Xenopus tropicalis: one gene and its partners. The protein of the gene in region 1 purifies or fractionates together with the protein of each later gene. This does not show direct contact. Links are inferred from orthologs where the notes say so. Each region holds a gene or a part of one and is shown in the gene's direction. Other genes may lie near its edges.

Region 1 (2,588 bases):
AGTGTGTTCAACAGGGATTTCCCAGGAGATGAGAACAATGACAATGAACAGCTCCGATCCATTCCTCAACAGGTTTGGGCCAATTCTTATCTCCCTCTAGTGACCCCTTGTAATATTTAGCTGCTCCCGCCCGCCATGAACTTGCTTCCTAGTAACAGGCTGTATGAGACACACTGGGGCTCATTTACCAACACTGAGCAGTATATAGCAACCAATCGGCAATGAGATGCTTTTTTTTTTTTTTTAACTAGCTGAAGGAAGGACATTGAAAGCGGAAATGTAATTTGTTGCCATAAGTAACACCTCAGGTGTTGATAAATGAGCCCCAGCAATTAGTAGCACAACATCCACAGTAATCACACAGTTACACACTGGCAGGTATGCAGAGGATAATCTACATTAAAGACAACCCACAGTAAATATAAACTGTTTTGGAAGGTCTTCTTGCTTGGTAGTATATACTTTCTGAGCTTTATTTAACCATATTTCTTTCTCATCAGTGGAACATATCACTCCAGAGACGAAAGCACTGACAGCGGGTTGAGCATGAGCAGTTACAGTGTACCCAGGACTCCCGACGATTTCCTCAACAGTGTTGATGAAATGGACACAGGTCAGTTTGTCTCGCCATTAGGGGCACACAGTTACAATCTGTAGGGTTTGAACCTCATGTATAAGTTGTTTGATTAAAGGGCACTGTCCTTGAGAAGGTCTAGTTCAGTAGACCCGTATCACCATCTTTGCCAGGCTGTCGGATCCAAATAATAATGTCCAAGCTGCCATCGTAGAATGCACCACATGACCCTAGAAGTGATGCCACATGTGGGCAGATCACTGAAATTCTACAAAACAGCCCACATCTCTCCTAACTTCCCCTGCAGGGTACCCACACCCCACCTGCATAGTCAGTCTTCTTTGACTGAATCCCAACCTCTGTCAGGTACCCACGGAATACCCCCAATCTACTAAGATATGCCCCCCCCCACCCCTTTAAGCAAAACAGGGATTGTTTGCCCATATATTGCAATATATTCAAGCTGACCAACTACGTCACTGTCACCCCCGGTGTGGCCGGTCCTACACTCGCTCACCCCCGGTGTGGCCGGTCCTACACTCGCTCACCCCCGGTGTGGCCGGTCCTACACTCGCTCACCCCCGGTGTGGCCGGTCCTACACTCGCTCACCCCCGGTGTGGCCGGTCCTACACTCGCTCACCCCCGGTGTGGCCGGTCCTACACTCGCTCACCCCCGGTGTGGCCGGTCCTACACTCGCTCACCCCCGGTGTGGCCGGTCCTACACTCGCTCACCCCCGGTGTGGCCGGTCCTACACTCGCTCACCCCCGGTGTGGCCGGTCCTACACTCGCTCACCCCCGGTGTGGCCGGTCCTACACTCGCTCACCCCCGGTGTGGCCGGTCCTACACTCGCTCACCCCGGTGTGGCCGTCCTACACTCGCTCACCCCCGGTGTGGCCGGTCCTACACTCGCTCACCCCCGGTGTGGCCGGTCCTACACTCGCTCACCCCCGGTGTGGCCGGTCCTACACTCGCTCACCCCCGGTGTGGCCGGTCCTACACTCGCTCACCCCCGGCCTGGCCGGTCCTACACTCGCTCACCCCCGGTCTGGCCGGTCCTGAGGAGACATTGAAATAAGAGTATAACAATACAAAAAAATAAGTGCTAAGTATAAACTGGATATATTTAGTACAAAGAACTGCATAGCCCTAATTAAATGTTCATAAAACCATAACTGTATTGAGGAAAGGTACATTTTAGCAGCATAATGCTCCTTTTAAAGATTTTAAATAGAACTCGGAACTGACAGGTTACTGTTGCATTCTGTTTCTAGGTGAAGCTATTACCCAAAGTACAATACCTACCCAACAGAACCGGTTCCCAGACTATTTGGAAACCCTTCCTGGCACAAATGTGGACCTTGGCACGCTAGAGGGAGAAGCCATGAATGTGGAAGGGGAAGAACTTATGCCGAGCCTTCAAGAAGCTCTCAGTTCCGACATCCTCAACGATATGGAATCCGTTCTGGCAGCAACCAAACTAGATAAGGAAAGTTTCCTCACGTGGTTATAGAAGCATCTGCAAAACTGATTTCTAAATACCCGAAGGATTGTTCATGTCTGGAGGTGAAACTGAGTTTATGATATATACAGAAAAAATATCAGGCGGCGAGCAAAAACTACTTTTTTAAAAAAAAAACAAACAATTATTTTTTGATGTTTTTAGTATTCTCCACCCATTGCTGCTTCATTGCGTCTGATATATTTGAAAGAGCCTTATGAATCAACCACACCAGTCTTTTCCTGCTATAGCTGCCTTTTTCAGACATTGGTTTGGCCTACACGGATCAAGGATGCTTGGGAAGCGCTGCAGCCGACGGGGCTCATGTACATAGCACGCAAATCGTTTGGAATTCACCAGCCAATCCCAGAGACTAGAGACCACGTCCTAAACCCAATATAACATTTTGTATAAAGGTGTTTTTTTTTTGTTTTTTTTTAGAAATGTAGTGTTCTTATTATGGTAGCAGTACTGCCATACCAACGCTTCTCAGTCACTTTGTGTACTCTCAG
Region 2 (3,829 bases), on another chromosome or scaffold:
AATTCAAATTTTTCAAAATCATTTACTTTTTCTCTGTAATAATAAAACAGTACCTGTACTTGATCCCAACTAAGATATAATTACCCCTTATTGGGGCAGAACAGCCCTATTGAGTTTATTTAATGGTTAAATGATTCCCTTTTCTCTGTAATAATAAAACAGTACCTGTACTTGATCCCAACTAAGATATAATTACCCCTTATTGGGGGCAGAACAGCCCTATTGGGTTTATTTAATGGTTAAATGATTCCCCTTTTCTCTGTAATAATAAAACAGTACCTGTACTTGATCCCAACTAAGATATAATTACCCCTTATTGGGGCAGAACAGCCCTATTGGGTTTATTTAATGGTTAAATGATTCCCTTTTCTCTGTAATAATAAAACAGTACCTGTACTTGATCCCAACTAAGATATAATTACCCCTTATTGGGGCAGAACAGCCCTATTGGGTTTATTTCATGGTTAAATGATTCCCTTTTCTCTGTAATAATAAAACAGTACCTGTACTTGATCCCAACTAAGATATAATTACCCCTTATTGGGGGCAGAACAGCCCTATTGGGTTTATTTAATGGTTAAATGATTCCCTTTTCTCTGTAATAATAAAACAGTACCTGTACTTGATCCCAACTAAGATATAATTACCCCTTATTGGGGGCAGAACAGCCCTATTGGGTTTATTTAATGGTTAAATGATTCCCTTTTCTCTGTAATAATAAAACAGTACCTGTACTTGATCCCAACTAAGATATAATGAATCCTTATTGGAGGCAAAACAATCCTATTGGGTTTAATTAATGTTTAATGATTTTTTTGTTTAAAGTATAGAGATCCACATTATGGAAAGACCCATTATCCGGAAAAAACCCAGATCCCTGAGCATTCTGGATAACAGGTCCCATACCTGTATTATGTGCTGATAGAGACAATCCTGTCATGCTCCATAAATGACATAAGCTCAATAAACGACAATAACAGTATAATATATATTACCACTAGAGGTGCTGTTCCATAGCAGAGTATGGAGAATGCCTCAGCTTTGGCAAAAAACACGGAATTATTGCACCGGCGCATACGCAGACAGGGCGGCAGGGGGTAACAAGGGCCACAGTCGGGGAAAGGGTCCAGAACCGGTGGTAGGTGACAGAAGAGGTACCTGCCTGGTGCCCCCTCCCCCCACCAATGCGCCTTAGGGAGGTGCCTCTTCTGCCTGCCCCTAGTTCCAGCCCTGCACGTGAGGTATTTGTTTTATAGAGTTAAGTACAGCATATACTTCCCCTTTAATGAACAAGACAGGTTTTTTTTATGTGAGAAATAAGAGATTTGAGACTTTTCCAAAGCAAATAGAGAAATCCAGATTGTTTTTACTTTATTTTATCCTTTAGTTCATAACCTTCATCTCTTTCAGAGTTTTACTCAGGAGCAGCTGCACAGGGCGGATCCCTCACCTACATGCACCCTCCACCTCCCCCTTACCCTGGGCCTATGGAGCCTCCGTCAGCCTGTGCCCCTGATCTGCCTTCCACTCCAGCAGGTGAGAGAGAAACAATAGCCTCATACTAAACTGTCTAAGGGAAACACTATGGCACCTCCTACCCATATGTATAAATACAAATATACAGAGAAGGAATGTTCTGGGCACACAATAAGCTGTACCCCCATACTGTACTGTCTAAGGGAAACACTATGGCACCCCCTACCCATATGTATAAATACAAATATACAGAGAAGGCATGTTCTGGGCACACAATAAGCTGTACCCTCATACTGTACTGTCTAAGGGAAACAATATGGCACCCCCTACCCATATGTATAAATACAAATATACAGAGAAGGAATGTTCTGGGCACACAATAAGCTGTACCCTCATACTGTACTGTCTAAGGGAAACACTATGGCACCCCCTACCCATATGTATAAATACAAATATACAGAGAAGGAATGTTCTGGGCACACAATAAGCTGTATCCCCATACTGTACTGTCTAAGCGAAACACTATGGCACCTCCTACCCATATGTATAAATACAAATATACAGAGATGGAATGTTCTGGGCACACAATAAGCTGTACCCCCATACTGTACAGTCTAAGGGAAACACTATGGCACCCCCTACCCATATGTATAAATACAAATATACAGAGATGGAATGTTCTGGGCACACAATAAGCTGACTTGTGTTCTTTCATGTAGCGGAAGCCAAGGCTGCAGAAGCTGCTGCAAGTGGCTACTATAGCCAACAGAACCCCCCACACTCCTACATGCCACCGGTAAGCTTCGTATGTTTACCCTGTCTTTTCTCACTCACTGCCCTACTCGATCTCTATTACATTATCTCTTTCTCTTCAGGACCTCCCTCCACCACCCCCTTACTTCCCACCAGAAGACAAGAAAACCCAATAAACCTTACTGCTGCAGTCGTCCTGCTTTCTGACTTTTACTCCTTGGCCACAGGGCATCTCCTTCATGTCTAAAACAGAGCATAGCCTCTGTTGGTTCAACCACTTCAGTTCTGTTTTTTTCCACAGCCTTAATGGTTAAAATCAAACTGCTTTCTGCTTGTTTAACTGCCTTGTTAATGCCAAAGTTTGCTGTTTGATACATATAGTGGTGTTTCTTTAACAGATCTCTGCCGAAAGCTTGTTCAAAGGGTTAGTCCACTTGGTCATGTTTCCTTTAGCTGTACCAAGAACCACACTATCTTATCGAATCCAGACTATCTTAACCTGGGTATCATTTTACCCAGGCTAAGGAATCCAGTTATCTGAGTTTCAAGTACCTGGCTGCTCTCTTTCCCATGGTCAACTAGAAGAGAGGGCTTGGACCAAACTAAATGAGCTGATTGGGACTATTGCATTGCAGCCATGGATAGAAATTCATGAAGCAAGAGCCGCTTCTACCAAATGTGCCAGCCTGCTTTACATTTGATATAGATTTCTATTCCAAGCCCCGCCCCCTAGACCATTAGAAAGAGAGCAGCCCAGCTGTAGGAACTCGTGCAAACGGAACCAGGGTTCATCCAAAGTGGACTTAACTTTAAATACTGTGCTTTGCAGTGTTCTGCATGCCTTTCCAGAAGAGGCTAAGCATGTCATGGTGCTGTCCGGACTTACGTTACTGCAGATTTTACCCCCTCTATGGTCACTTTCTGCTGCTTACCAGTTATACCAAACCCAATTTGGCTAAATACCTCATCCACAAGCTATCTGCTGTTTAAAGCATATATATATAAATACAAGAGTTAAATATAAAAATAATTTATTTTAAAGAAATTAATGTTCTTTTGGGAATGTGTTTTGCATAAAGAATAAAAGTTATTCTAACAAATCCTTTGCTCTGTCGTTTTTCCTCGAGTTTGAGAGTTTATTCACAGGACTTTGGGCTATAAACATAATATTTCGGCTATTTTCATTAGCTGCCACAAAGTTTATCTATAAATGCGATGCCCGTCTTGTGATGCTGATATTAATCTCTGTGTGACATATATTCGTTTATTTCGTTTCTCATTGTACACACAGAGCTTTTACACCCACCACTAGAGGGCATTCTATGCATTAACTTTGTGCTAGAACAAATGCTGGTTTGCCATTTATCTTCCTTCATAAACTGACTAGTTATAGACATAATATACACTTTCTGCAGCTTTAATTCCAGATTAAAACAATGCTACTCAAAAATACACATTCCGCTATTTAGAGGACATTGTTACAATACAGTCAGTACAGGAGGTGACTAGTGATGAGCGAATCTGTTCCGTTTCGCTTCGCCGAAAAATTCGCGAATCTTTGAAAAGATCCGCGAAACGGCGAAAAATTCGCGAAACTGCG
Region 3 (3,500 bases), on another chromosome or scaffold:
TGTATTTATCCTGATATTTGTTCTGGGGGCATTATATATAGAACTGGCACTGTATTTATCCTGTCATGTGTTCTGGGGGCATTATATATGTAGAACTGGCATAGTATTTATCCTGTCATGTGTTCTGGGGGCATTATATATAGAACTGGCACTGTATTAATCTTAATATTTGTTCTGGTGCATTATATATAGAACAGGCACTGTATTTATCCTGCAGTGTGTTCTGGGGGCATTATGTATATAGAACTAGCACTGTATTTATCCTGATATTTGTTCTGGTGCATTATATATAGAACTGGCACTGTATTTATCCTGCAATGTGTTCTGGGGGCATTATGTATATAGAACTGGCACTGTTTTTATCCTGATCTTTGTTCTGGTGCATTATATATAGAACTGGCATAGTATTTATCCTGCAATGTTTTCTGGGGGCATTATACTGTATATAGCACTGGCACTGTATTTATCCAGATATGTGTTCTGGGGGCATTATATATAGAATTGGCACTGTATTTATCTTGCCATGTGTACTGGGGTATTACACTTGGAATTAGCCCTGGGATACTGTGTAGAAAATGTCTTTAATTAGCCTCCCTGAACACAAAAATGACCCTCTGTCTATGTTTATTAGCCGATATGTTCCTATAAGTCACAACACTGTGGCGGAATCTCCCTCCGACTGCTATATGTAAGCAATCACTGGAGGTCGGCTTTCCCTACTCGATATAAACATTGCAGAGCTCGCAATATATTTTTGACTCAGTAGAAGATAATGGGAACCGACTGCAGAAAACTGGAAAATGGCTGCGTTCAACTTATCAAATTAATGGGGAGATTAGGGTGTGATTAATGTGACACGGGGATGAAGGCTTAGCAGCACCAGGCATGGGGTAATTGAGAGTGAAAAGCTAAAGTGTAGGAATTCTGGAAGAAATTTACTCTTTTTATGATTTCCAGCAAACCACATCTTTTGGGCTCGAAGCTGTAAAATGAATGACAAGTGACATTACCTGGCGGCCATAAACATTTGTGGGGGCTACGGTTCCTAGAGACCGGGAGCAGGTAGAGGGCTAATGGAGACAAGAAAAAGCTCATTGAGCACGGCTGGATTGTAGCCAGACCCTGGCCTTAATGACGCTTTTGCAGCAAAATAAATGGAAACATATGGAAATTTAATTGTTCCGAGTTTCTGACCGAAAGGCACCGAGGCAAAAATCATAAGGACAAGAAAAGGTTTATATTAGCAGAGGTGTGACTGTCGCCTTTTGAAAAATGTCTGCTTTTTTTTTTTAAAGTTGCGTGGTCTGGCTGAATATATGTGTGTGTGTGTGTATATATACAGTATACATATTTACTCTCTGTTTCCTAGTCATTATTTGCCTAATTCAAGAAAATGTAATTCTATGCATATTTCCAACCATCATTCATGAAAAATTTCCAATGGTTTTAAAGATATTTGTAACCTTAATGCCCATGAAAAGCAATTCTCAGATAAAATCTTCAGTTTTGCATTAGAGAAACTTGAAATTCTGTTATTCAAATTTCAAAAATGTTTCTAAATTTAGTTATGCTATACAGGTATAGGATCCCTTATCCAGAAACCCGTTATCCAGAAAGTTTCGAATTACAGAAAACCTGTCTCCCACAGACTCCATTTTAATCAAATAATTCAGAATTTTAAAACTGATTTCCTTTTTCTCTGTAATAATAAAACAGTACCTGTACTTGATCCCAACTAAGATATAATTACCCCTTATTGGGGGCAGAACAGCCCTATTGGGTTTATTTCATGGTTAAATTATTCCCTTTTCTCTGTAATAATAAAACAGTACCTGTACTTGATCCCAACTAAGATATAATTACCCCTTATTGGGGGCAGAACAGCCCTATTGGGTTTATTTAATGGTTAAATGATTCCCTTTTCTCTGTAATAATAAAACAGTACCTGTACTTGATCCCAACTAAGATATAATTACCCCTTATTGGGGGCAGAACAGCCCTATTGGGTTTATTTAATGGTTAAATGATTCCCTTTTCTCTGTAATAATAAAACAGTACCTGTAATTGATCCCAACTAAGATATAATTACCCCTTATTGGGGGCAGAACAGCCCTATTGGGTTTATTTAATGGTTAAATGACTCCCTTTTCTCTGTAATAATAAAACAGTACCTGTACTTGATCCCAACTAAGATATAATTACCCCTTATTGGGGCAGAACAGCCCTATTGGGTTTATTTAATGGTTAAATGATTCCCTTTTCTCTGTAATAATAAAACAGTACCTGTACTTGATCCCAACTAAGATATAAATAATCCTTATTGGATGCAAAAAAACAATCCTAATGGATTTAATTAATGTTTTATTGATTTTTTAGTGAACTTAAGGTATGGAGACCCCTTATCCGGAATAACGGGTCCTATACCTGTATACAGAGAAAGAGAGAGTGAAAGAAAATCAATATAACTTGAGATTTTAGTAAATCTTTTACAGCCAAATAGTCTGTCTCGGTTCAGTAACCAATCAGCATTTAGCTTTTGTTGGACTTGCACAGGTCATGTAACAATCCCAAACACAGAGTAGAAATTTTGATAAATAATTGATTGTACAGATTTACCAAAGGACCACATTTAAAACAAATATATTGACATTTGTTTTTCTTTGTTTAGGTGCTTCGGAACTGGGTCCATTCTCCGATCCGCGGCAGTTTACAAGTATTTCATCATTAACAGAGAGTCGGTTTTCCAACCCACGAATGCACTATCCTGCCACATTCACGTATAGTCCTCCTGTCACCACAGGGATGTCTTTAGGTATGTCTGCAACCACTCACTATCATACCTACCTACCACCCCCTTATCCAGGCTCCTCCCAGAATCAAAGTGGACCATTCCAAACCAGCAGCACTCCCTACCTTTACTACGGTACATCATCTGGATCATACCAGTTCCCCATGGTTCCCGGGGGTGACAGATCTCCATCTCGGATGCTACCACCCTGCACCACGTCCAACGGGGGCACATTGCTTAACCCCAATCTGGCCAATCAGAATGATGGGGTGGATGCAGACGGAAGCCACAGCAGCTCTCCTACTGTGTTAAACTCCACTGGTCGAATGGATGAATCCGTATGGAGGCCTTACTGATGACAGAACAGCCAATAGGAAGACATTTTTCCACAGAACACAGAAGTGCCTTTTTTTTAAATGAACTTTTTGGATGTCACTATTTTTAACTTTTATAGGCTTTTATAAATAAAAAAAATAATGCAAGTAAACTGATTTGGCAAAATATTTTTGCCACTATGTTTCAAATGAGATGGTTACAAGCACACATGGCCTTAAAACTCTTATTTCTTGATCATTATTTATGTCCAACTGAACCATTCCAAAGAGTTTTCATCACCAAAAATGGTTGTGGAAGCTTTAAAAAGACTTTTTTTTTCCCACGGGGGTGAGAGAAGATTCCATTCCCGAGCCGCAATTTGCCAATAAACGGGAAG
Region 4 (3,500 bases), on another chromosome or scaffold:
TTATTGTATAACCTGTGAAACCGTACAACTGTATCTGTATTGTAAGTAACAGGTAATTCTTTATTAGATCTAAAAGTCATTTTTTTTTCACTCAATATAAGAATCCACACAGAAGACCCGTTGACTGTATTGGCTTTTTGGGCTGTATATTGGCCCAAAATAGTGTAACAACTAATTGTAGAGCAACTAGCCTTGTTTGAAAAATGGGTATTTATTTGTAGCAGTACTTTTCATTCTTGAGTTTCCCAGTCTATAGCTCTTTCACTGTTTCTGAACTAGAACACTAAGTATTTCAGACCAAAGAAAGGCAAAAGGCAGATATTAAAATAATAGGCACTTTCAAAGATTCCTAAAATAGCTAAAAACATAATATTAATAGAGACTTGTAATGCAGAGAAGCCAGAGGATACACTGCTAACAAGCCTAAATAATCTGGTTGTTCATTGTTTAAAACTTTTTGCAAGTAACTGTTCTAGATTTCTAGAGACATACAAAGAGTAAGTGAGAAAAAGCAAGATGTAGGTCAGATAATATGCAAGCCTATAATAAACACAATAATTGTGTTAGTAGAAGGAAATAATGTGTATTTATTCTCATTAACCTAGCCAGATTTTATTTTAACAACTAGTATTATTTGTTGTGTTATAAATTATATTATATGCTAGTTTACGGGTTAATTCAAAATGTGTATCCATTTGTGGTATAAATGTAACTTGCAGCCACTTGGGGAAATTTCACCTAAAGAAATATAAAAAATATTTTTATTGCCTCTTAAGTAATGCATGGATGTAATGTCTGTTTGTACCATTTAAACTGAAGAACATATTACTGAATTGCACTCTAGATCAACCAAATGAGTTCCCATGGTGTTCTTCCTCCATCATTAACTCCAGTTATTTCCAGCATGCAAGACTATGCTAGCTCCAAGAAATCCTCTGCAGACTCATCACAAAGGCATTCTGGTAAATACTGTGCAGTACTACAATTCTATTACCTTTTTACAGTGGCTTGGAGTTATTGTGCCTGTGACATATGTGGCATTAAAGAGAGAAGGAATGGTTCTGAAAAGATAAAGCAGACAAAGAATACTACAGATATACTTTAAAATCATCAGAAAGTCTTGGGTATAATTTTTGAGTCAGTAAATGGTCATTCAGTCTTACTGTCTCTCTGTGCTCGCTGTGCCCTAACTACTATTCTAAAGGTTTAGCATTCAGAGTGTCTGAAATAAATTTGTGTACGCAGTACTGTGATTGATTAGTAGGACCATACGACCATTGCTTGTTTGTCTTTCCTAATATTTTGTTACCATTTCATTTTATTTTTACAACCATTTTGCTAATGGACAATTAAATAAACAAATACATGGTGGAGCCAGTATAAGCAAATACATTCCTTACTCTGAGTACCAGTATTCTGAACTGAACTGCAGTCAAGACTACATGGAAATGCAGTTACTGAACCAGGGTGATGTCTCACCTTCATTTGTTTTCCTTTTTAATGTGTTGTTCTCTATTTACTTGTGTGATATACAGCATGGCAGTGTTGCAGAAGAGAATAATATAGTATTATATATGGCTGTAATCCAGATAACTTGTGGGAAGGAGAAATATGTCTTCAGAGCAAATATCTAGAGACAGCCCCTTTCAGGGGTCACCTATTGTATTTGTCTTTCTATTGTAGTGCTTTGTTTTGTTTTGTTTTTTTATTTTTGCTTTACCTTTAAATTTAGCACTTCACTTTTACTTTTTCAATGAATAAGTATTTAAGATATCTATCCCCTTTAAATACAGGCACAGACTTGGAGCCACGGACTGTAGAAATTAATAGAGTAAGTAAAGAAAAACTACACTTGCTATAATAAGAGTTGGAGGGAAATATACAATGACTTAATACCTTTCCATTTTCACACTTTGTTAGGGCCCTTATGATGCTCTTGGGATCAGTATCGCAGGAGGGAAAGGCAGCCCATTGGGAGATATCCCAGTTTTCATTGCTATGATCCAAGCTAGTGGTGTAGCAGCACGGACACACAAATTAAAAGTAAGTATCTGTTTTTATCACCATGTGACTTTTACGAACAGTAATGACGCATAAGCAAATTATATTTTGTCTTAATAAAAGCACATTATGGTGAGATGGTTCTACATGTTTTACTTCTCTCATTGACCTTTAACCATAATGAAGGAAAACCAAATTATGCCCCATTCTCATCATACTTTGTTTTATTGGTAAACATGGCAATGACCTATAAAAACCAAGTGCCTATGTTAGAATTATGTATGTATATCTTTATTTATAAAGCGCTACTGTACGCAGCGCTGTAAAGTAGAATACATTAATACAAACGGGGTTATTAAGATAATAATAAATTAGATAAAGTTTAACAATAAATAAAAGATATAGTTGCAATAAGTTAAGAGTCAAAGACACAAGAGAATGGAGGTCCCTGCCCCTTAGAGCTTACAATCTATATATTATGCTGTTTCCATAGAAGATATTACTGTAAGGACGTTTTTTGCTTGTACATTTAAGCAGCTTGTTGTAGAGGCAAAGTTTATAGTAGTGAATTGTGCCAATCTGCCCTTTTATTTGTCATTTAACAAAATTCTGTTAATTCTCAATTTGTACTTACTTAATCTTGCAATATTTTCTATTCTCAAAATTGCAAAGTAAAGAAAATATTCAGTACTGCATTATATTTAATAACCATCTTTTGAAATTAATCCTGACCTGTATGTTTTATCATGGGCTTGTGGGGTATAGGTTGGGGATCGGCTTGTCAGCATTAACCAGCAACCAGTGGATGGGCTGTCACATGCAGAAGTGGTTAATATCCTGAAGCATGCATTTGGAACCATTGTTTTGCAGGTATGGTAATAAATGTAAGGCTAATGCCAGACGAGGCGTAGGGCGGATATTTTCGGAAAGCGGAAAAGAGCTTGCTGAAAATTCCGCCCTATGCCTCCTACATGTGCCTGCACCCGAATGAATGAGATACGCTCGGGTGCAGGCACATGTAGCCCATATATATATAATGCAAAGTCTCGTGTTTTTATGCGCATATCGGCTACATGTGCCTGCACCCGAGCGTATCTCATTCATTCGGGTGCAGGCACATGTAGGAGGCGTAGGGCGGAATTTTCAGCAAGCGCTTTTCCGCTTGCCGAAAATATCCGCCCTACGCCTCGTGTGGCATTAGTCTTAAGCCTCAGATGTTTCAGCTGTGAGACATTGATAACTGTCATTCTGTAGAGACTAAGGCTGATGCCACACCAGGCGTAGGGCTGATTTTTTCCGCTTGCCGAAAAAATCAGCCCTACGCCTGGTGTGGCATCAGCCTAACTCCAACTGGCAGCAGAGCTCACTGCACATGTAAGTGCATTCTAGGAGGGCACTCCATGTTACTTAACAAAATGTACAAAATCACTCTGTTTCACATATGGTAAGTACATTTACAAGTTTTCTGCCTTAATCTGAAATTGCAGGATACTGGAAAT
Region 5 (3,500 bases), on another chromosome or scaffold:
GGCCCTGTTATTGCATGGGGTCCTGAAAAGCAGTGTAGTTACTAAACAACTAAACCCCAAATGTTTTTAGATAAGCATTAGAGTGAAACAGGCCTCATTACTAATTAGAATTCTTATCCTTTTTTATTAGGCTAACTTGTTCTTAAATGAAGCCAAGGAGAGATTTGCATATTTGAAACAAAACTGTGATGCTCTGCAAGAACATGGTGAATACCTTTTTGAAAATGAGTAAGTTTCACAGATATAGATATCCTATTTCTTTGTTTATTTGCACTTGGAGAGATATGGGTGTTGTGGCATGGTCATTTATATTCAATGAAACTTATTGTCCTGGCTAGAGCCTTGTATATAAGAATCCTATCTATAGAATACATAGTTACATAGGGTTGAAAAAGACCAGAGTCCATCAAGTTCAACCCTTCCTGAACCCAGCACAAATATAATAAGTAAGTATATAAGTAAAATGCCTTTCCTTCTCCTTTAAGTAACATAAAGATTTAGCACAAGTACATTTTTCAGGTCCAGAAACTGTTGGTCTAGTTACATAGGTAAGTTGGGTTGAAAAAAGACCATCAAGTGAACTTAGCTCAAACACAAACATATACTGACCTATGTATACATTCACACACATAAACCCTATATTCCAACATTAATACTAACTGTAGATTATAGTGTCACAATAGCTTTGGATACTATGCATGTTTAGGAACTCATCCAGACCCCTCTTAAAGGCATTAACAGAATCTGCCATTACCACATCACTAGGAAGGGCATTCCACAACCTCACTGCCCTCACCTTGAAAAACCATCTACTCTGCTTCAAAAGTTCCGTTCCTCTAATCTAAAGGGGTGGCCTCTGGTGCGCTGATCATTTATATGGGAAAAAAGAATATCCCCATCTGCCTATAATCCCCTCTAATGTACTTGTACAGAGTAATCATGTCCCCTCGCAAGCGCCTCTTTTCCAGAGAAAACAACCCCAACCTCGACAGTCTCACCTCATAGCTTAAATCTTCCATCCCCTTTACCAGTTTAGTTGCACGTCTCTGCACTCTCTCCAGCTCATTAATATCCTTCTTAAAGAGACACTGACACCAGAAATTAAACCTTTTTTTTGCGTTTATCATAACATTGTCTTTGAATGCTATTTATAATTTTGCCATAAAAGTATTTGCCCAATGCTTTTACAATACCTATCTGATCCCCCATGTTCCTCTGTGAGGAGGCTGGCATATTTGTGCTGCCATAGTCCATTAGCATTAAAAGCAACAACTTACAAGCTGGGAAGGTACAGTCAGATTGGCACAACAGTTAGGTTCAAGTAACAATTACTTACAAAAGCAGTACTGTCAGTAAAAAACGATCAGTATGACTTTTAATGTACATTAATATTTTGAAGAGTAATTTTTTACTGTCAGTATTACCTTAAGGACTGGAGCCCAAAACTGCACTGCATACTCAAGGTGATGCCTTACCAGAGACCTATAAAGAGGAAAAATTATGTTTTCATCTCTTGAGTCAATGCCCTTTTTTATACAAGACAGCACTTTATTTGCTTTAGTAGCCACAGAATGACACTGCCTGGAATTAGACAACTTGCTATCTACAATATCCCCAGATCATTCTCAATTAAGGATAACCCAACAAACTGCCATTTAGTATATAACTAGCATTTATATTATTTCTACCAAAGCGCATAACTTTGCACTTTTCAACATTGAACGTCATTTTCCATTTTGCTGCCCAGTTTTCCAATTTTTGTCAAACAAGCAAAGTGACAGCGTCCTGTGTGGAACTTATATACTTAATACACTAGATGGGAGTAGGTTACAGAATAGAATTTGAATTTATATAGAAGTGTGAAGAGGCCAGGATCAGAAGAAGAATAAACAACGGAGGCCTTGGGTACTAAAGTTTTCAACTTCCTGAAAATAAAATGAGATAAATTCAAGTTTTAGTAAATCTGCCCCTAAGTTTTTTCTTCTTTTGTTTTAGCGCTCTTATAAGGTACGCCAAGAAAATGCCCACAGTATCAAGTAAAGGTTTGATTGGATTAGCACACCAAATGGCAGATATTGGTGAACACTGCTGTGCCCTACCAGAAAACCAGAGGTTGCCATGTGCAGAAGGAGACGTATGTATATATTGTTTGTTATGTTTTGCTTGGGTTTATGCAAACCTTTCTGCCAACTTCTAGTGCATTTTTTCTATATAACCTAATTACAGCTTTATAATGTATGAAATACTGACTCTTTGTCCACCCATCTACAAACATGCACACACCTACAAACAAACACAGCACCATAAGAAAAACGTTTAGAATATCATATCTGGGGACTGATATTAAGCACATAGAGCCCAGCAACATTACTCAATAAACCCAAATATAGTGCACAGCTAGTTACCATTATAGTATAGTTACCTAAAATATATTTAATACAGCTACTCTACACACACTTCCAAGCCAATTTGAGTACATAGAACACACCATTACAATGGTGCCATTTCTGAACACATATGACTGACTTCACATTACTGCACTTGTTTAACTGTAATCCCATATGACTTCTTGATAACATGCAGTAGTAATGTAGATACAGATGTGAAGTATAATTTTCATAGTTCTTAAGGAATTATCAACCATTTTAACCTTAGAAATGTTTACTATGGACAAGTGAATCTCTTGTTTGCAATGGGCTACAGACATCTAGTATGGTTCATTTACTTGCGAGAATAACAAACAGCTTAGGTTAAGGAATCACAGCTATAAACCATTTACATCTCTAAAACTCTAAATAATTAAAGCAGTTAGTAAAAAAAAGCATAATTAAGCATCCTCTTAAGTCCACTGGATTGTGCATAATAGAGACAGGTACTTTTCAAGATAGAAAGTCTGATGTAAAGAGAAAAAATAATGGTCGCAAAAAAAATAATATACTAGACTCACTATTGTATAAAATATATATAATAGTGAGCCTTTGACACGTAAAATATTGCTGATATATAATTTGTCATTATTTAACAAACACTGTTTTAAAGATTGTTGATATTGATGTCCTGTTTTTCACTTCCCTTTAAAGCTTAGCATACTCTTTGGAAAGCTGTGTGAAAAGCAAAAGAAGAATTTTGCAAATGATGGAGTTGCTCACTGCTGCAGTGACTCGTATTCTGGGATGCGTTCATGCTTTACTGCTCTTGGTCCGGATACGAACTATGTACCACCCCCAGTCACTGATGACACATTTCACTTCGATGACAAGATATGCACTGCTAATGAGAAAGAACAACAGCATATCAAACAGACGTAAATATTTTTGCCATTATTGTTTGATGTAATTCTTTGAGAACAGTTTAGCACACATAAATCGTATTGAATTGCCTAAAAGGGGTTGTTCCCCTTTAAATGAACTTTTAGAAACAATGCAATTGTTTTTTTAGCTACTGGGGTCTGTGACCCCCATTTGAAAGCTGGAAAGATGTAGAAAAGCAAATCATTCAAA
Region 6 (3,966 bases), on another chromosome or scaffold:
AATGCGCAAACGAATCAATACAGCAATTCATAGGAGCAATGCACAACTAAGCAATGCAGCAATGCACAACTAAACATTGTGGCAATGCACAACTAAACACTGCAATGATGAACAGAAACAGCACACAACTAAATACTGCAGCAATGCACTTACTAAGCACTGTAGTAAAAAACAACTAAGCAATGCAGCAATGTACAACATAACACTGCAGCAATGCACAACTAAACAATGCAGCAATAAACAACTAAACTATTCAGCAATACACAACTATGCACTGTAGTAATGTACTACTATGCACAACTATGCAGTGTAGTAATGCATGAATAAACAATGCAGTAAAGCCCAACTACAAACTGCAGCAATGCATGGGACAATTCAGAACAAAACACTGCAGCAATACAACTTAGCGCTGTACTAACGCACAACTAAACAAATGCAGCCAAGTACAATTACACACTGCAGTAATACACAGGGACAATGCAGAACAAAGCACTGCAGCAATGCACAACTATGCATTGTATTAATGCTCAACTAAACTGCAGAAATGCACACCTACACACTGCAGCAATGCACAGGAACAGTGCACAGCTAAACACTACATCAATGCACAAGTGCAGCAGTGCACAACTGAAAAATGCAGACATGCACAATTAAACAATGCAGCAAACAAGAGCAATGCATAATTTAACACTGCTGCAAGGTATATTGCAGCAATGCAACAACAGTGCTGTACTCTGTGACTGTGTGTACAGGGAAAACACCCAATATACTACTATAAGTAGGCAGCGCTGAAACGTTTTTTTCCTGCTAATCCCTATATTAACAGCCTAATGAAGCTGCTTCATATATCTACTTATAGGAAAGTTAAGGCTGGCAGTGGCTCATAACTAAAGTGAGCGATAAGAAGGTTGGCCAGTGATTTCCAGCAGTCAGTGCTGCAGCGCTGTTTCCCAGGCTCCTTCCCTTCCTTACAGCCGATTTGTTATTTTTTAACCAGAGCTGAACGTTGACCTAGTTAGCTCGCTGTGAATAGCGCTCAGTCTTCGGGACACGCCTGCGCTCTGTATGTGCCAATAAAGCTCGTTTAAAAGAAAGGTAAAAAAAAACCCTCCAGCAGCACAGACAGAGGGAAGGGGGAGTCGGAGGGCTTAGTTGTGAGGAGGCAGCAAAGCCGTGCCATTGCGCTCACACTGAGGAGTTGGAGGATTAGCTGCCGGCTGGACATCGCCACTGAGCAACCGAGGAAACCTTTTCTGCGTGTGGCTACAGGCACCCACTTACACATGAGCCCGCTGGCAGTCCCTCTACTCACACTCCCCGGCGTTGTTGCTTCAGATACTGAACAAGTTCCCAGGACTCTGGGATATGCCAGCAATGAATGAGCCTTTGCAGCCAGGACTCTGCTTGATTGAAAAGCCATTCTAGCTAGAGACATGGCTGGTTAGTTACACGCTAGAGGATATTCTTATTTCTGCTTTATTTCGGCGTGTTATCTCCGTTGCCATGGCCAAACATTGCCAGGGAGCAGCGGCAGAAGATATCGGCACCATCTCGGACGAGGAGCTGCTGCGCTGGAGCAAAGAGGAGCTGGCCAAGAGGCTGAGGAAAGTGGAGAATGAGAAGATGAGCCTGATGGTGGAGCATGGCAATATGATGAAAGATGTGAACAGGAGGCTTCAGGTCCATCTCCATGAGATCAGGGGGCTAAAGGAAGTCAACCAGAAACTTCAGGATGACAACCAGGAGCTACGGGAACTCTGCTGTTTCTTGGATGATGACAGACAGAAGGGCAAGAAACTGTCCAGGGAATGGCAGAGGTTTGGTAGGCACTCAGCCACTATGATGTGGAAGGAGGTTGGGGTTTACCAGCAGAAGCTGAAGGAGCTGGAGGCAAAGCAGGAGTCCTTAATAAGGGACAACCTGGAGTTGAAGGAGATCATCCTCATGTTAGATGAGGAGAGGAATGGTGCTGGGTCCAGAAGCTCCATCGATAGCCAAAACAGCTTGACCAATTTGAATGGAAGTTCTGGCCCTAGAGATGTGGGGGACGGCAGCAGCACTTCCAGCACTGGCAGCGCGGGTAGCCCTGACCATCACCACCATCATCACCACCACACAAAACCAACTGAGAACAAAGCTGGGACAGTTAGGAAATCAACTGATGACCTGTCCATCCCCCCTCACCACAGAAGTATTCCCAATGGCTTGAATGGTAAGACCCATCTCCTTGAGTACTCTGCACATAACATCTTTTGTCATTACAGTTACCCTGGTAATGTATGAGTTTATTTGGGTGCGTGTAAAGTTCTCTGTAAAACCCAGCGTTTTAATCAAAGATTTATAGAACAATGAGGTTTTTTATGTTTGGGCACCAAAAATGTTTTAACTAAATTCTGCCCGAAGGCTGATAATTTAACTGTAAAGTTATCCCCATTTGGTTTATTATTAGATGGGCATTGGTATGAAACATAACCAGTGAAGCAAGACTTATATTTCAGAAATACCACACTTTTCTCTGGTACTGTGAAATATATAAGAAAGAATATTATGAAGAAACAGTACAACCCGAAACAGTAGTCTGAAGACCAAGCTTTTGACAGCTTGCGGTTTAGTGACTCTGTGTATACCACATCTGATAATATTTGTAATGCTGATGGTCTGGAAGGGTTTTGTGTTATACACAAATGCCAAGGTCAAAAAATATTATCTGTTTATTAAAAACAATGTTATTTTCTTTAGCGCTGTACAAGTGTTGGTTACTTACAGATGACAACTGTTTGAGAAACATAGTGGTAAAATTATGGAGTGTAAATAAGCATTTCTGCCTAGCACTTTCACTGCAGCAATTAGTTCTTAGAGAGGGAACCAGCAAAATAAATGAAAATATCTACCAAAAATGGATTAAAATGTCCCCAGTGTCTATAATATGATCACGTTGTTCATGTGCAGTTGTCATGGGGCCAGCTGTCATACATTATTACATTAATTTATTGTAACTTTCTCACTGTGAATTTTTTAATAAATTTGTCTTATTGTAAAACTGAAATTTTTGTCAATACAGACCTTCTTAAATGTCTTCCATTAACCCATGTTCATGGAAATATAAAAGTGCATCAGCTAATTCATTATTTACTATTAACTGTTTGGTTTTGGCCACTTTTTATTATTATTTTCAATGTTTTCTAATACATGGCAGATCTTTTTCCACTTAATTGTGGATCTCTATAACTCCCTAAAGAGTGGTAGGCTAGTAATGGTGCCAGGGAATGAGGTGTGGTCCCAGCAAACTGTCAGGAGGCAAATAGGGCCCTAGCCCAAACGGTTGGTAATTCCTGTGATAGGTAATTATTCCTGTAAATGGGAGGAATCCTATTATTTTGAACATCTGCAATTTTAGTATATATGTGTAAATTGTGTACCTATCACCCACTCATTTACACTCGTTATGTTAAATGTAAATTTGGTGCATGTGGATACCCTGTGACTTGTGCAACCACAAGCTCTATAGGAAGGCTTTCAGCATGCTTGACTAATTGTGTATTGTGCTGTATAATGTTCACAGCAATCGTGACATTATACTGTGTGTTTCCTGGCTGAAGCTGATTTTGTTATCTGTAAATTATAAGCAATTCAGCCACATTGTAGAAAAAATAATTTTATATATAAAAACAAAAAAGCAAAACACTCATGGCTCAAAAAATATATAAGTTCAAAATATTTATTGTTCAGTCGTAGTGCCATTGACATTGGCGCGTTTCCATCATCGGGATGTCCCCAGCCCCAAGTCAATATATATACATTGACTGTTCTGTGTATCGTTTCAGTTAAAGGGGTTGTTCACCTTTGAATTAACTTCTAGATATTCTGAGACAATTTGAAATTGGTCTTCATTTTTGATTGCTAGGGTTCAAGTTTCCTTAGCAACCTTGGAGTGGTTTGGATGAAAGGCTGGAAACAGAGAGGGCC
Region 7 (4,177 bases), on another chromosome or scaffold:
GGAGAAAATGCAAAATGAGAAGAAATTAGCACTTAGCTGCAATGTGTTCAGTCTGGGCATACCAGTTATAGCCGTAGAGATAATTGTGGAAAGGTCTGCCATAAACTATGACCTACTGTCATTTATTTTCATCAAAGGGAAACAGATCAGCCCCTTGACGGACAGTAAAGAAGCCCTTCCTGGCCAAGCAGAAAGTGGCTTTTTTTATGTTACAACAGGCTATTTTCTCAGTTGTAAGCTAGGTTCCATGCCAACGAGCACCATAGATCTGTAGCCACTGATATGAGACAATGGCTTAATTGGAATAGCAAGCTGTATAGCCAGTGAATACAATAGCACCTCCTGCGTATAGCATTCTTACCCAACTCTGCTCGGGGTCCGCGGGCATTATCTATTTCTAACAGAGAGTATATGTGCCTGAATATCTGCCAAAATAAAATGTGTAGTGGCTGGCTATGCTTAACGAGGGAATAGTATCAATTTCTGATTCATTTTGATTTTCACCACAATTCAGCATTGTACCCCAGAGTATCACCCAGGGGCATTGCAGAACCCAGTACCACTCAGCGGCCTAGTTGATATGACCCCCACACTTTTAGTTTTTTGCATCGGAGCAGGTCAGGGGGGGATGCATTTCTCTAGCAAATCTGAAATTCCTATTTAAAAATTAGAATATTTGCTCTTGAAGATATACTGGGGGGGGGGGGGGCAAAAATATTTAGTTTTTTGGGTCTGAGCAGGTCAGGGGGGATGCATTTCTCTAGCAGAGCTGCAATTCCTATTTAAAAATTAGAATGTTTGAATGAAGATATATCAGGGGAGGGGGCACAATAGTAACTTGTAGTGTGCAGCTGCCTGAGGTAAATTTCCCAACTGCCCTTATGGCAGCAGCGCCACAACTGCACTGTAATTGTGGGGCAATATTAAATGGTGCCACTTCTGGTGTCATTAAACAGAATCATGGTAAAATTGGCTTGGAGCAAAGTCAGTTGTGTCCATGGAAGCAAGGGGGGGACCAGGAATTACCACAAGCTCTATTTAAAAAAATCTGATCTCTAAGTCTGAAAGATGTACCCAGGCGGTATTCTCGTTTGATGTACAGTTATTATGAGCTTCCGTGCCTGTTATTGTAAGGCAGTGCGGACAGCACAATTAGGCGCCTCATAATTAGCCGCCATTATACAGAAACATGTAATAACAACAGTAATGCGTGCTCTCTGCTAGCGGCTCCAACGCGGGGAGATCTTCCGCCCCCAGCGGCCGCTCACTGGAGTGCAGCCCGGAGGGAAAGTATGAGAGGAGGCGGGCAGAATGCTGAGTGGAGGAGGGAGGGAGAAAGGTTATGTGTGGTTATAGCTTTATCCCAGGGGGAGCCTGAAACTCTCACATTCCGCGCATAGCAAAGCTATTGAAGCACTAGAGCGGCGTGAGTGCTGCGGGATCAGTCTGCTCAGCGCTCTCAGGCAGCACACAGCTCACTGCGCACAGGGAAAGTACGGGCACAGTCGCACCGACACAGTCGCACCGAGAGCCCAGTCTGCTGCGCACACACTGGCTATGCTCGGGTGAGTACGCTCTTTCCTACACTCTGCCCTGCGCTTGCTTTTACCTTTATTTTCTGTTTTTATTTGCGCACTGTATGTACATATCGTACCCCCGGCGCATTACTGCGGTCTGTGAGTCACATGTCTCGCAAGCAGCTAGAATAAGGACAGTTGTTTATTATACATGGGTACCATTGCTACACAGTCTTTCATTAAGCTGGTGTCCCGCAGAACTTGCAATCTAAAAGCTGCTGCTCTAGAATGAATAGAAATACTTCTTGTGTATGTCTGTCTGTATTTATATTCAGTTTCTTGTATATGCAATAATGCTCAATGTAGATAATGTATAATGTTTGTGTTGGTACCTGAGCAACTCCCAGCACCCACAGCTTTAGTCTATGTGCAAACTGTTGTGTTTCTATATATGTATGCATGTGTATATACCGTATGTCTTTGTCTCTATAGACTTATCTATAGAATAAAAGCCCCCAATGACTGGTCATTTGTCACAATGGTATTTATGTAGGGTGCTGTTGGTGCCTGAGAAATTCTGGGGGCCTGTGATGCCTGAGTATTGTATATTCCTTGTGTACAAAGTGTCATCTAAGGGACAACATTTATGTCATTTTAAAGGAGACAAAGGGGGGATTAGCAGGTGTTTTGCCACCTTAGCCATGGCAGCAGCAATCCACCAACTATATTCTATTCTTATTATGATTCTTGTTTTTAGAACGGGCCTGTGTGGGGTAGAGGGAAGGCTGCAATTCACAAAGAATGTCAATTGCAACACAAAGAAGCCAGTGATGTCACTTCTTAGCTATGCTAAAGGTGCTCTCGCCTCCTACGTGCTGGAAAATATTTTCCCGTAAGAGACAAGGGAACGTTCAGGTTTGGCCCTATGTACATACCTATATATATATATAAATATATATATATATATATATATATATATATATATAAATATATTTTAGAAGTTTTAGTGAAAGGGGGAATTTGTTGTGATGGCTATTTATACTAAATCTGCTACAAGGAGTGTTTAACAGCATTAAAAGATTCTTACATGCCGTATTTTTGTTGGTTAGGGATGGAATCCCAGTATTTATTTTCTTTGCTATGGAGGCCTGAAACTAAATAAATACTGGCACTGTTTTTGGTTGTTCAACTTCAACTAGGAAATGTGGAATTCAAGGGGAGGGCTATAAGGCAGAGGCAGCAGGGGGGCATACCATAGATACAGTGGGCTTTATCTACATAGAAAGGGAGGTGTGTGTATATGTGTGGACAGGAGGGGGGGGATTAGTAAAGGGAGGAAATTCCATTCCTCTGATATCCATCACCTCCAAAAAAACAAGCAGTTAATTGCCTAAAAATCAGCAGCTTACAAGTCAATGAAGCTCTATTTCTTAGCAAAGTAAGTAGAACGTGTGTATGTTGTATTGGAAAATCCAGTTAGAATCCTCCAGGGTTCTTTGTTCCTTTGTGAACATGACTTTTAAGCATTGTGAACATTGACTTGATGTTATGATGAGACATAAAACCATCACTGTCACATCCTTCTTGTGTTATTTGGAAGAATTTTGTCTTAAAACATATATTTTTTTCTTGTTCCACAGGCTCTCCCCAACAGTCGAATAGGATTATAATCCATTACTTATATTTTCCACTTGACTGAGGATTTATTTACTTGTTAAGGATGAGAACAGCCGAGGATTCCTCTGGAACGGTTCTACACCGTCTCATTCAGGAGCAACTAAGATATGGGAATCTTAGTGATAACCGTACATTGTTGGCTATCCAGGAGCAGGCTCTGCGGGCTGGAGGTGGCAGTGGAAGTCCCAGATCATCCCTAGAAAGTCTTGAACAGGAAGAGATTCAAATGGCTCCTTCAGCAAGGCAAGAACCCCAAGGCCAGGAGTATCATTGTGACTATTTCTACTTGGAAAACCCCATGTATAAGGCTCATGAATTTCAACACAAAGGCGAGGAATTGCCAACTTATGAAGAAGCCAAAGCGGCACTCTCACAGTACTATGCAGCCCAGAACACCCAGCCAGTGGAACATGGTGGTCATCGGCAAGACCAATCCCTTAAGGATTTGAAACATGGCCATGTCAGGTCCTTAAGTGAACGTCTGCTGCAGATGTCTTTGGAGCGAAATGGTGCCAAGCCTCAAAACCTTATGAGCTCCTCTCATAGCTTCCCACAGCTTTCAAGGCATTACCAGCTATCGGTGGCTCGTGAGCAACAGGAAGATAGGGGACAGTATAGGGGTGCTCCTCCGGAGTACCCTCATTTTAATCAACCAGTACAGGACATACGAGGATACACAACAGAACAAAGGCATTATTCTGGGGAACTGCCTGTATATCACCAGTCTGAAGTCAGGTGAGCACAGACTTCTAACCATACTATGCAAACATCTTCACGATGTAGATGGAATATCTCTACTGTAGGATTGCATTTAAAGTTTACCCTTTAAAACATCTGTCAACTGGAGCATGTTTATTTATAATGGCATGTTGGCTGTAGATCAATATTATGGAATTCCAGCCATCCAGTAGTTATTGTCCACTGGCCAGCCACAGTATTGTAAAGAGTGCGCAAATACGTAATTTATGTACGTAGAGAAGTAT

The links.
Region 2: the proteins of yap1 (region 1) and wbp2 purify together in Homo sapiens (affinity purification with mass spectrometry; 7 studies listed by BioGRID and IntAct, with this or other methods). This does not show direct contact. The link is inferred for Xenopus tropicalis from reciprocal best matches to the Homo sapiens genes YAP1 and WBP2.
Region 3: the proteins of yap1 (region 1) and runx2 purify together in Homo sapiens (affinity purification with western blotting; 4 studies listed by BioGRID and IntAct, with this or other methods). This does not show direct contact. The link is inferred for Xenopus tropicalis from reciprocal best matches to the Homo sapiens genes YAP1 and RUNX2.
Region 4: the proteins of yap1 (region 1) and patj purify together in Homo sapiens (affinity purification with mass spectrometry; 7 studies listed by BioGRID and IntAct, with this or other methods). This does not show direct contact. The link is inferred for Xenopus tropicalis from reciprocal best matches to the Homo sapiens genes YAP1 and PATJ.
Region 5: the proteins of yap1 (region 1) and alb purify together in Homo sapiens (affinity purification with mass spectrometry, with the first as the bait; 3 studies listed by BioGRID). This does not show direct contact. The link is inferred for Xenopus tropicalis from reciprocal best matches to the Homo sapiens genes YAP1 and ALB.
Region 6: the proteins of yap1 (region 1) and ccdc85c purify together in Homo sapiens (affinity purification with mass spectrometry; 5 studies listed by BioGRID and IntAct, with this or other methods). This does not show direct contact. The link is inferred for Xenopus tropicalis from reciprocal best matches to the Homo sapiens genes YAP1 and CCDC85C.
Region 7: the proteins of yap1 (region 1) and amotl2 purify together in Homo sapiens (affinity purification with mass spectrometry; 10 studies listed by BioGRID and IntAct, with this or other methods). This does not show direct contact. The link is inferred for Xenopus tropicalis from reciprocal best matches to the Homo sapiens genes YAP1 and AMOTL2.

Annotation. Positions count from the first base shown.
Region 1 is NC_030678.2:162,264,145-162,266,732, reverse strand, and holds the end of yap1 (transcriptional coactivator YAP1), read left to right. Parts: coding exon 1-72; intron 73-500; coding exon 501-613; intron 614-1,849; coding exon 1,850-2,088; downstream 2,089-2,588. UniProt on the Homo sapiens protein: Transcriptional regulator with dual roles as a coactivator and corepressor. Critical downstream regulatory target in the Hippo signaling pathway, crucial for organ size control and tumor suppression by restricting proliferation and promoting apoptosis.
Region 2 is NC_030686.2:44,865,580-44,869,408, reverse strand, and holds the end of wbp2 (WW domain-binding protein 2), read left to right. Parts: intron 1-1,410; coding exon 1,411-1,536; intron 1,537-2,195; coding exon 2,196-2,272; intron 2,273-2,351; coding exon 2,352-2,405; 3' UTR 2,406-3,329; downstream 3,330-3,829. UniProt on the Homo sapiens protein: Acts as a transcriptional coactivator of estrogen and progesterone receptors (ESR1 and PGR) upon hormone activation. In presence of estrogen, binds to ESR1-responsive promoters. Synergizes with YAP1 to enhance PGR activity.
Region 3 is NC_030681.2:147,509,874-147,513,373, reverse strand, and holds part of runx2 (runt-related transcription factor 2), read left to right. Parts: intron 1-2,668; coding exon 2,669-3,144; 3' UTR 3,145-3,500. UniProt on the Homo sapiens protein: Transcription factor involved in osteoblastic differentiation and skeletal morphogenesis. Essential for the maturation of osteoblasts and both intramembranous and endochondral ossification.
Region 4 is NC_030680.2:85,652,428-85,655,927, reverse strand, and holds part of patj (inaD-like protein), read left to right. Parts: intron 1-844; coding exon 845-962; intron 963-1,793; coding exon 1,794-1,831; intron 1,832-1,920; coding exon 1,921-2,043; intron 2,044-2,766; coding exon 2,767-2,871; intron 2,872-3,500.
Region 5 is NC_030677.2:80,150,261-80,153,760, reverse strand, and holds part of alb (albumin precursor), read left to right. Parts: intron 1-130; coding exon 131-228; intron 229-1,995; coding exon 1,996-2,134; intron 2,135-3,080; coding exon 3,081-3,304; intron 3,305-3,500. UniProt on the Homo sapiens protein: Binds water, Ca(2+), Na(+), K(+), fatty acids, hormones, bilirubin and drugs. Its main function is the regulation of the colloidal osmotic pressure of blood. Major zinc transporter in plasma, typically binds about 80% of all plasma zinc.
Region 6 is NC_030684.2:90,720,597-90,724,562, reverse strand, and holds the start of ccdc85c (coiled-coil domain-containing protein 85C), read left to right. Parts: upstream 1-1,166; 5' UTR 1,167-1,503; coding exon 1,504-2,212; intron 2,213-3,966. UniProt on the Homo sapiens protein: May play a role in cell-cell adhesion and epithelium development through its interaction with proteins of the beta-catenin family. May play an important role in cortical development, especially in the maintenance of radial glia.
Region 7 is NC_030681.2:130,254,009-130,258,185, reverse strand, and holds the start of amotl2 (angiomotin-like protein 2), read left to right. Parts: upstream 1-1,377; 5' UTR 1,378-1,565; intron 1,566-2,872; exon of another isoform or gene 2,873-2,955; intron 2,956-3,157; 5' UTR 3,158-3,237; coding exon 3,238-3,929; intron 3,930-4,177. UniProt on the Homo sapiens protein: Regulates the translocation of phosphorylated SRC to peripheral cell-matrix adhesion sites. Required for proper architecture of actin filaments.